2 linked regions of the Kluyveromyces lactis genome follow. The protein of the gene in region 1 purifies or fractionates together with the protein of each later gene. This does not show direct contact. Links are inferred from orthologs where the notes say so. Each region holds a gene or a part of one and is shown on either strand. Other genes may lie near its edges.

Evidence for each region.
Region 2: the proteins of ARB1 (region 1) and FUN12 purify together in Saccharomyces cerevisiae (affinity purification with mass spectrometry, with the first as the bait; 3 studies listed by BioGRID). This does not show direct contact. The link is inferred for Kluyveromyces lactis from reciprocal best matches to the Saccharomyces cerevisiae genes ARB1 and FUN12.

What each region holds. Positions count from the first base shown.
Region 1 is NC_006037.1:128,733-132,690, forward strand, and holds ARB1 (ATP-binding cassette family ATPase ARB1), read left to right. Parts: upstream 1-1,345; coding exon 1,346-3,169; downstream 3,170-3,958. Other genes in the region: Golgi transport complex subunit COG1, read right to left, coding at 1-555; KLLA0_A01474g (uncharacterized protein), read right to left, coding at 3,691-3,958. UniProt on the Saccharomyces cerevisiae protein: ATPase that stimulates 40S and 60S ribosome biogenesis.
Region 2 is NC_006042.1:2,170,615-2,175,088, reverse strand, and holds the start of FUN12 (translation initiation factor eIF5B), read left to right. Parts: upstream 1-1,660; coding exon 1,661-4,474. Other genes in the region: GTP-binding protein RBG1, read right to left, coding at 1-999. UniProt on the Saccharomyces cerevisiae protein: Plays a role in translation initiation. Translational GTPase that catalyzes the joining of the 40S and 60S subunits to form the 80S initiation complex with the initiator methionine-tRNA in the P-site base paired to the start codon.

The sequences.
Region 1 (3,958 bases):
GGTTAATGACGGCTTTTCCGTTATTACCCATTCCCCTAGTTTTTCACAGTAATCCAATACATTTCCAGTTATCGGCAAATCCGAGAAAGAAGACAAAAGCTTGTCCAAGCTATCCGACACTGAAGGATCACGTTTGAATTTTGTCAATGCTACTACCCATGAACTCACTTTGAGGGTGTTCTGTACCTCATCTATGTTGAAGTCATAGGACTCCTCAAGATGTTGCTTCTGAACCGAGCTAGAGAACGATGACTCTCGACCATAAGTACCGTCACTTCCTCTTCGCTTAGCCACCTTCATGGATGGCAATTCGGTATCATTCATCCTGGGCAACAAATCCTCATCACCAAAGCACAATTGCAAAAGATCTGAATCCAAATCCTGGATATTCTCATAAAGAGAGTGTATCTGCTCATTGGTATCGACAACAGCTTGGTAGTTGCTTTTCAATGCCTTCCCAAATTCCTCACGAAGTTTAACCACATCTCTACTCAATTGAACAGAAATGTCCCTCACTTCGGCCACAGATTTCTCTCTAAATAGACTAGCAGACATATCAGTATAACAAACAGACAGTTAGCTTTCGTTACTTCTATTTTCAACGGATAATACGTGTATGTGAACGTGAATGCGAATGCGTGTATCTGCTTCCAAGATTCAACACTTTCGTCGTCATTCAATGAGTTATCTTAACAAAGCTGTGGTTTCTCTTTACCATCCATTGGTTCTCAGACTGAATATATTGGGTACAGCTGAACAAAGTTCATGAAATTGAAATTTATCAAAAAACAAAAGTCTATTAAGCTCCCTTTGACAGTCGAACCGGCGCTCTTTGTTTTTTTTCTGAGGAATTCCACTTTTTTTGCATAAGCAAGAAGCACGACCTTCGTCATTTCATATAAAGAAATGTGAAAGGCTATATTCTCGCTTTATACGAGGCGAGATATCGAAGAATTCGTTGAAAAGAATTTTCAGAAGAAAGATCGAATTTTGCAAAAGCTCATCTCTCTGATTTAATATTTAGAAACTAAACTATACCCATCTTAGAGAGTTTAAAATCTAATAAAAGTTAGAAATGGATATACCATTATATACACAGTTGTTTCCTTTGTATTCTTAGATTAGATCCACATATATCCAAGCTATTTAACCTCTTATTTGTTCATCATTTAGAGAGTATTGAATTATAAAGAAAGCGTCTGATAGCCTTTTTTTGTTAGTTGCTACAGAGACTTATTATTCATACACAGGTATTTGAACAAGTTCGAGATATATCTTCCATATTTGTCAGTGATATTCACGCATATTCGGAACAGGTAACACGTTAATATAAAGTACAAAGAAAATGGCTCCAGTATCTGCATCTAAGGCAAAGAGAGATGCCAAAAAAGCCGAAAGAGACGCCAAGAGGGTTGCTGCTGGTAAGACTACCAGAAGATCCAAGAAGGAAGATGAAACAGTTGATGAAGCCGCCGCTGCAGCTGACAAAATTGCACAATTGAAGTTGCAACAAGATAAAGACGGTATATCTGACCGTGTCGTTACCGGTGTTCTAGATTCATTGGAAACTTCTCGTGATATTAAGCTATCTTCTGTTTCCTTGTTGTTCCACGGTAAAGTTTTGATCCAAGATTCCCAATTGGAATTAAATTATGGTCGTCGTTATGGTTTATTGGGTGAAAACGGTTGTGGTAAGTCCACTTTCTTGAAGGCTGTTGCCAGCAGAGAATACCCAATTCCTGAAAATATTGATATTTATTTGTTGGACGAACCTGCTGAGCCAAGTGAATATTCCGCTTTGGAATACGTCGTCAGGGAAGCTCAAGGTGAATTGAAAAGATTGGAAGATTTGGTAGAAAAGATTCTCTTGGAAGATGGTCCTGAATCTGATCTATTGGAACCACTATACGAAAGAATGGACGATATGGATCCATCCACTTTCGAATCCAGAGCTGCTATTATCTTGATTGGTTTGGGTTTCAACTCTAAGACTATCAACAAGAAGACCAAGGACATGTCTGGTGGTTGGAAGATGCGTGTCGCTCTTGCTAAGGCTTTGTTCGTTAAGCCAACTCTTTTGTTGTTGGATGACCCAACCGCGCATTTGGATTTGGAAGCTTGTGTTTGGTTAGAAGAATATTTGAAGAGATTCGACAGAACTTTGGTTCTTGTCTCTCATTCTCAAGATTTCTTGAACGGTGTTTGTACCAATATGTTAGATATGAGATTACAAAAGTTGATGGCATACGGTGGTAATTACGACTCCTACGTTAAGACTCGTTCCGAATTGGAGACCAATCAAATGAAACAATACACCAAACAACAAGAAGAAATTGCTCATATCAAGAAGTTCATTGCTTCTGCTGGTACTTATGCCAACTTAGTTAAGCAAGCCAAGTCTAGACAAAAGATTTTGGACAAAATGGAAGCGGATGGTTTGATTCAACCAGTTGCTGCCGACAAGGTCTTCTCCTTCAGATTCCCAGAGGTTGAAAGATTACCACCTCCAGTTTTGGCATTCGATGATATTTCCTTCTCTTACGATGGTAACTCAGAAAACAACCTATACGAACATTTAGACTTTGGTGTTGATATGGACTCTAGAATTGCTTTAGTCGGTCCAAATGGTGTTGGTAAATCTACTTTGTTGAAGATTATGACTGGTCAATTGACCACTCAAAGCGGTCGTGTTTCCAGACACAGTCACGTCAAATTGGGTGTTTACTCCCAACATTCTCAAGACCAATTGGACTTGACCAAGTCTGCCTTGGAATTCGTCCGTGATAAGTATCCACATGTCTCTCAGGATTTCCAATACTGGAGAGGTCAACTAGGTCGTTACGGTCTAACAGGTGAAGGTCAAACCGTTCAAATGGGTACTCTTTCTGAAGGTCAAAGATCAAGAGTGGTGTTTGCATTGCTTGCATTGGAACAACCAAATGTCCTACTATTAGATGAACCTACTAACGGTTTGGATATTCCAACTATTGACTCTTTGGCTGACGCTATTAACGAATTCAATGGTGGTGTCGTTGTTGTCTCGCACGATTTCAGATTGCTTGACAAGATTGCAAAGGACATTTTCGTTGTCGAACATAAGACTGCCACCAGATGGGATGGTAGCATCTTGGATTACAAGAACAAATTGGCCAAGAACGTGGTTTTGTAGATTATTTAATAAATTTTTATGTACAGTCAATTCTATACATTGCCTTCCTGAAATAATTCCAAAGAATGGACAAAACTAAGATACTGCAACTAGAGTAACAGACGGGACAAATAATCATGGTATTAATATTTACCTAGTTTTACACAAATGCTGAGATCACACAGTACCATATGAAACAAAGAAGTAGTGGTAGCAAGTTGATATTATTGCATTGGTTTCTGTCCGATCAAAGTGATATAAAAAAAAAGATTCAAAAAAAAAAAAAAAAAAAAGAGAAAAAGGGAAAAAGATACCTTACAAAACCTTGTTCAACATTGACACAGCATTTATGGTGCTGTAATTATGAGTTTGCAAGATTATGAATACAACTTTTGAAATATGATCAACCGTAATATACAATAATTACAGTATGTTGTATCATTCGAAAGTTGGTTGTAAAAAAACACAATTGTTAAGAAGTGAATAGTCATTATTGAAATAATATGCAATTGAAAAATTTCGGCCATTTCGTAACCATGGTATCAAACGAAACTTGGTTTCGGCAAGGTGGTTACCTGAGGAGCTTCTGTAGCAAACGTAGCACCAGCATAACATTTGCTATGATCATCAGATCTTGATTCAGACCTCATATGATTGCTTTTCTTGTTGCTGCTTTTCGAAGATCTGGAAGATGGAGCAGATGGTGATGAAAACGAAACTGGAACCTGTTGTGGAGGGATACTGTCGTTCTTTCTCGCATTCCTCTTCTTTGAGGATTTTGTTTTTGAATGAGATGAAGAGTTCTCAGAA
Region 2 (4,474 bases), on another chromosome or scaffold:
CTCAACTAAAGATTTGTGAATTTGGTTACAGAAATCTCTTACGGTACACCTATCCGACCTTAACACCACTGGGTCTGTGAAATCAGGCATCGTACCCTTTGGCTTAGTATAAACACGGACTAAGTTTAGTCTATCCCACATAACTTCTAGTAGTTCATCCAAATTCCATTCCTTACCAGAAGAGATTGGAACTGCATTTGGAATTCTGTATAAAAGTTCCAATTCTTCTAATGACAAAGAATCTATCTTGTTTAGCACATAAATAGCTGGCATATACCTTCTTGATGGAGCTTCAAGTACATCAATCAAATCATCGACGGTGGCATCACATCTGAAAGCAAGCTCCGCACTGTTGATTCTATATTCACTCATAACAGCTCTAATTTCGTCCGGGCCTAGATGCGTCAATGGTACTGTATTTGTAATGGAGATACCACCTTTTTCCTTTTTCTTGATTAAAATGTCTGGAGGTTGCTTGTTCAAACGGATACCAACACCTTCCAATTCCTTTTCAATGATTTGTTTATGATGCAATGGTTTATTAACGTCCAAAACAATAAATAGTAGATTACAAGTTCTGGCCACAGCGATAACTTGTTTACCACGACCACGGCCATCTTTAGCACCGTCAATGATACCCGGCAAATCCAACATTTGAATCTTAGCACCCTTATATTTGATGACACCTGGAACCGTAACTAAAGTGGTAAACTCGTACTCAGCAGCCTCAGATTCTGTACCAGTCAGCTTAGAAAGTAAAGTACTCTTACCCACTGAGGGGAACCCAACAAATCCGACTGAAGCAACACCGGTCCTGGCCACATCGAAACCAACACCGGCACCACCACCACTACCGCTTGAAGCAGCCTGCAATAACTCTCTTCTAAGTTTCGCTAGCTTAGCTTTCAACTGACCCAAATGAAAAGAAGTGGCCTTATTCTTTTGGGTACGGGCCATCTCATCTTCGATGGCCTTAATCTTCTCTACTGTCGTAGACATCTTTTATTTCAATTCAGATATTGATCAGGAAATTCTTCAAAATAAATCCTTTTTTTATAATTTGATGCCAACCTCAGTGGAATACTGACTGATACCTATCGATTCCAACCGTTTAACTGATTTTGGCCTCTGTAACCAAACTATAATGAAACTCTAATATCATTAATCCTAAGCGATGAGATTGTGAATATCTGTAGAACTTCCTACTGTTGACAAAGATGAAGCTGTCAATTTTTTTCAAGCCGTCCAAGGTGATATTTTATACATCTTCAACGCCGATCGTAAATAGCGATGCTGAATGGCATCGACCGGTCTTCACCCCGAAAATAAGGCTAATGGGACCTTTCTGGCCCCTGAAAGATGAATTTTGGGCGCACCTCACCAAAGACAGGGTAATCTAGTATGTTATTTTTTTCTTTCCATCGAGGTACGTATAATCATGAACTTGAAGTTTTTCATCAGTTTTTTATTTTTTAGTACAGGTTTTTCTCACAACTTAAAACTATTTGAAAGATTGTTTTGCGTAAGATCAATTAAAAGGATTTTACATTATCTCTTTACTTGTTATAACCCTCTTTTACACTTTGTTTGCTGTCTATCATAATAAGATTTCGGAAGAACTGTAAAAGTAGAACCTTTGTATCCGAAAGAGTAGTTCAAGATGGCGAAAAAATCAAAGAAGAATCAACAGAATTACTGGGACGAAGAGTATGAGGAAGATGTTCCTCAAGAATCTTCAGTAGAACCCTCGATAGATGGTTCTGTTGAGCCAAGTGGTGAAACCGAAGTTGCCGATGCATCTGCCATTGAGGAAGATTTTATGTCCACTTTGAAGAAATCTAAGAAGAAGCTGGACAAGAAGGAAGACGAGGATACTAAGAAGCCAGTCTTGAAGTCCAAGAAGGAAAAGGAAAAGGAAAAGAAGGAGAAGGAGAAGGAGAAGAAGAGGGAACAAGCCGCAAAGAAGAAGGCTCAGCAACAAGCGCAGAAGGAAAACAACAAGAAACTTCATGCTGAACAAACTTCTAAACTGAAGGCTGAAAAGGAGGCTGGCAAGTCCACTGAAGGTGCGGCACCAAAGGCTGCACCAAAGAAGAAGGTCCCAGCCGGTCTTGCTGCTTTGAAACGTCAATTGGAGTTACAAAAGCAGCTAGAAGAAGAAGAAAGGTTGGCCAGGGAAGAAGAAGAGAGATTGGAGAAGGAAGAAGAAGAAAAGTTGGCCAAGGCTGAACAAGAAAAGGAAGAAGCTAGAAAGGCTAAGCGTGAGAGAGAACAAGCTAAGCGTGAAAAGTTAAAGGCAGAGGGTAAACTTCTAACTAAGAAACAAAAGGAGGAAAAGAAACTGCTTGAAAACAGACGTGCTGCTCTATTGGCTGCCGGTAACATCAAGGTTGCTGGTCTAGAAAAATCCGGCGATGAGCATCCAAAACCAAAGAAGGTTGTTTACGGTAAAAGAGTCAGAAAGACCAAGGAACAAATCGAGTCCGAAAAGGCAATCGAAGAAGAGAAGAAGAAAGCTACTGAAACTCAAGAAGTCGAAGAAGAAGAGGAAGCGTTGATTGATGACTGGGAGAATTTGGCTCTTGACGATGAACCTGAAGAACAAGAAGGAAAAGAAGAAACAAGTGAAAAAGAGCAATATTCTGGTTCTGAAACTTCTAATGCTACTACTCCAGCTCCGGAATTATCCACTGAAGTTACCAAAAACTATGCTTCTCAACCAATCCCTTCCAAGAGATCTGCAGCAGCAGCAAAGAAAGATCTTCGTTCTCCAATCTGCTGTATCTTGGGTCATGTCGATACTGGTAAAACCAAGTTGTTAGATAAGATTAGACAAACCAACGTTCAAGGCGGTGAAGCTGGTGGTATTACCCAACAAATCGGTGCCACTTATTTCCCAATTGACGCTATTGAACAAAAAACCGCAGTTATGGCTAAGTATGAAGAACAAACCTTCGATGTCCCAGGTTTGTTAGTCATTGATACACCAGGTCACGAATCTTTTACCAACTTGCGTTCCAGAGGTTCCTCTTTGTGTAACATCGCCATCTTAGTTATTGATATCATGCATGGTTTAGAACAACAAACCATTGAATCCATCAGATTATTGAGAGACAGAAAGGCTCCTTTCATCGTTGCCTTGAATAAGATCGATAGATTGTACGACTGGGTAATTACACCAAACAACTCTTTCAGAGACTCCTTTGACAAACAAGAACGAGCAGTTAAGCAAGAGTTCCAAACTAGACTTGACAACATCAAAGTCGCTCTTGCTGAACAAGGTTTGAACTCAGAATTGTATTTCCAAAACAACAACCTAGCCAAATACGTCTCTATTGTTCCAACATCTGCCGTTACAGGTGAAGGTGTTCCTGATTTGTTGTGGTTGCTATTAGAATTGACTCAAAAGAGAATGTCTAAGCAATTGAAATATTTGTCTCACGTTGAAGCTACAATTCTTGAAGTGAAGGTTGTTGAAGGTTTCGGTACCACTATCGATGTTATTCTATCTAATGGTTACTTAAGAGAGGGTGACAGAATCGTTTTATGTGGTATGAACGGTCCGATTGTGACGAATATCAGAGCCTTGTTGACACCTCAACCCTTACGTGAGTTACGTTTGAAGTCTGAATATCAACATCACAAAGAAGTCAAGGCTGCTCTAGGTGTAAAAATTGCTGCAAATGATTTGGAAAAGGCTGTTTCTGGTTCCCGATTATTAGTTGTAGGTCCAGACGATGATGAAGAAGAAATGATGGATGACGTCATGGAAGATTTGACTGGTCTTTTAGACTCTGTGGATACTTCTGGTAGAGGTGTTGTTGTTCAAGCTTCTACATTGGGTTCATTAGAAGCTTTATTAGACTTCTTAAAAGACATGAAAATTCCTGTTATGTCTGTCGGATTAGGTCCTGTTTACAAGCGTGATATAATGAAGGCTTGTACTATGTTAGAAAAAGCTCCTGAATTAGCGGTTATGCTATGCTTTGATGTCAAGGTTGATAAGGAAGCAGAACAATATGCTGCAGAACAACATATCAAAATTTTCAATGCTGATATTATTTACCATTTATTCGATGCCTTCACAGCCTACCAGAAGGAACTACTTGAAAAGCGTCGTGCTGAGTTTATCGGTGACGCTACCTTCCCATGCGTCCTGAACACTCTACAAATCATTAACAAGCGTGGCCCTATGATCATTGGTGTGGATGTCATTGAAGGTTCATTGAAGATCGGTACTCCTATCTGTGCAGTGAAATATGACCCAGCAACAAAGGAGAGAATAACATTGTTGCTTGGTAGAGTCACTTCCTTGGAAATCAATCACCAATCTGTGACTGAAGTCAAGAAGGGTCAAACCAATGCAGGTGTTGCAATGCGTTTAGAAGATCCTTCCGGTCAGCAACCAATCTGGGGTCGTCATGTTGATGAAAAAGATACATTGTATTCTCACATCACTAGAAGGTCCATTGAT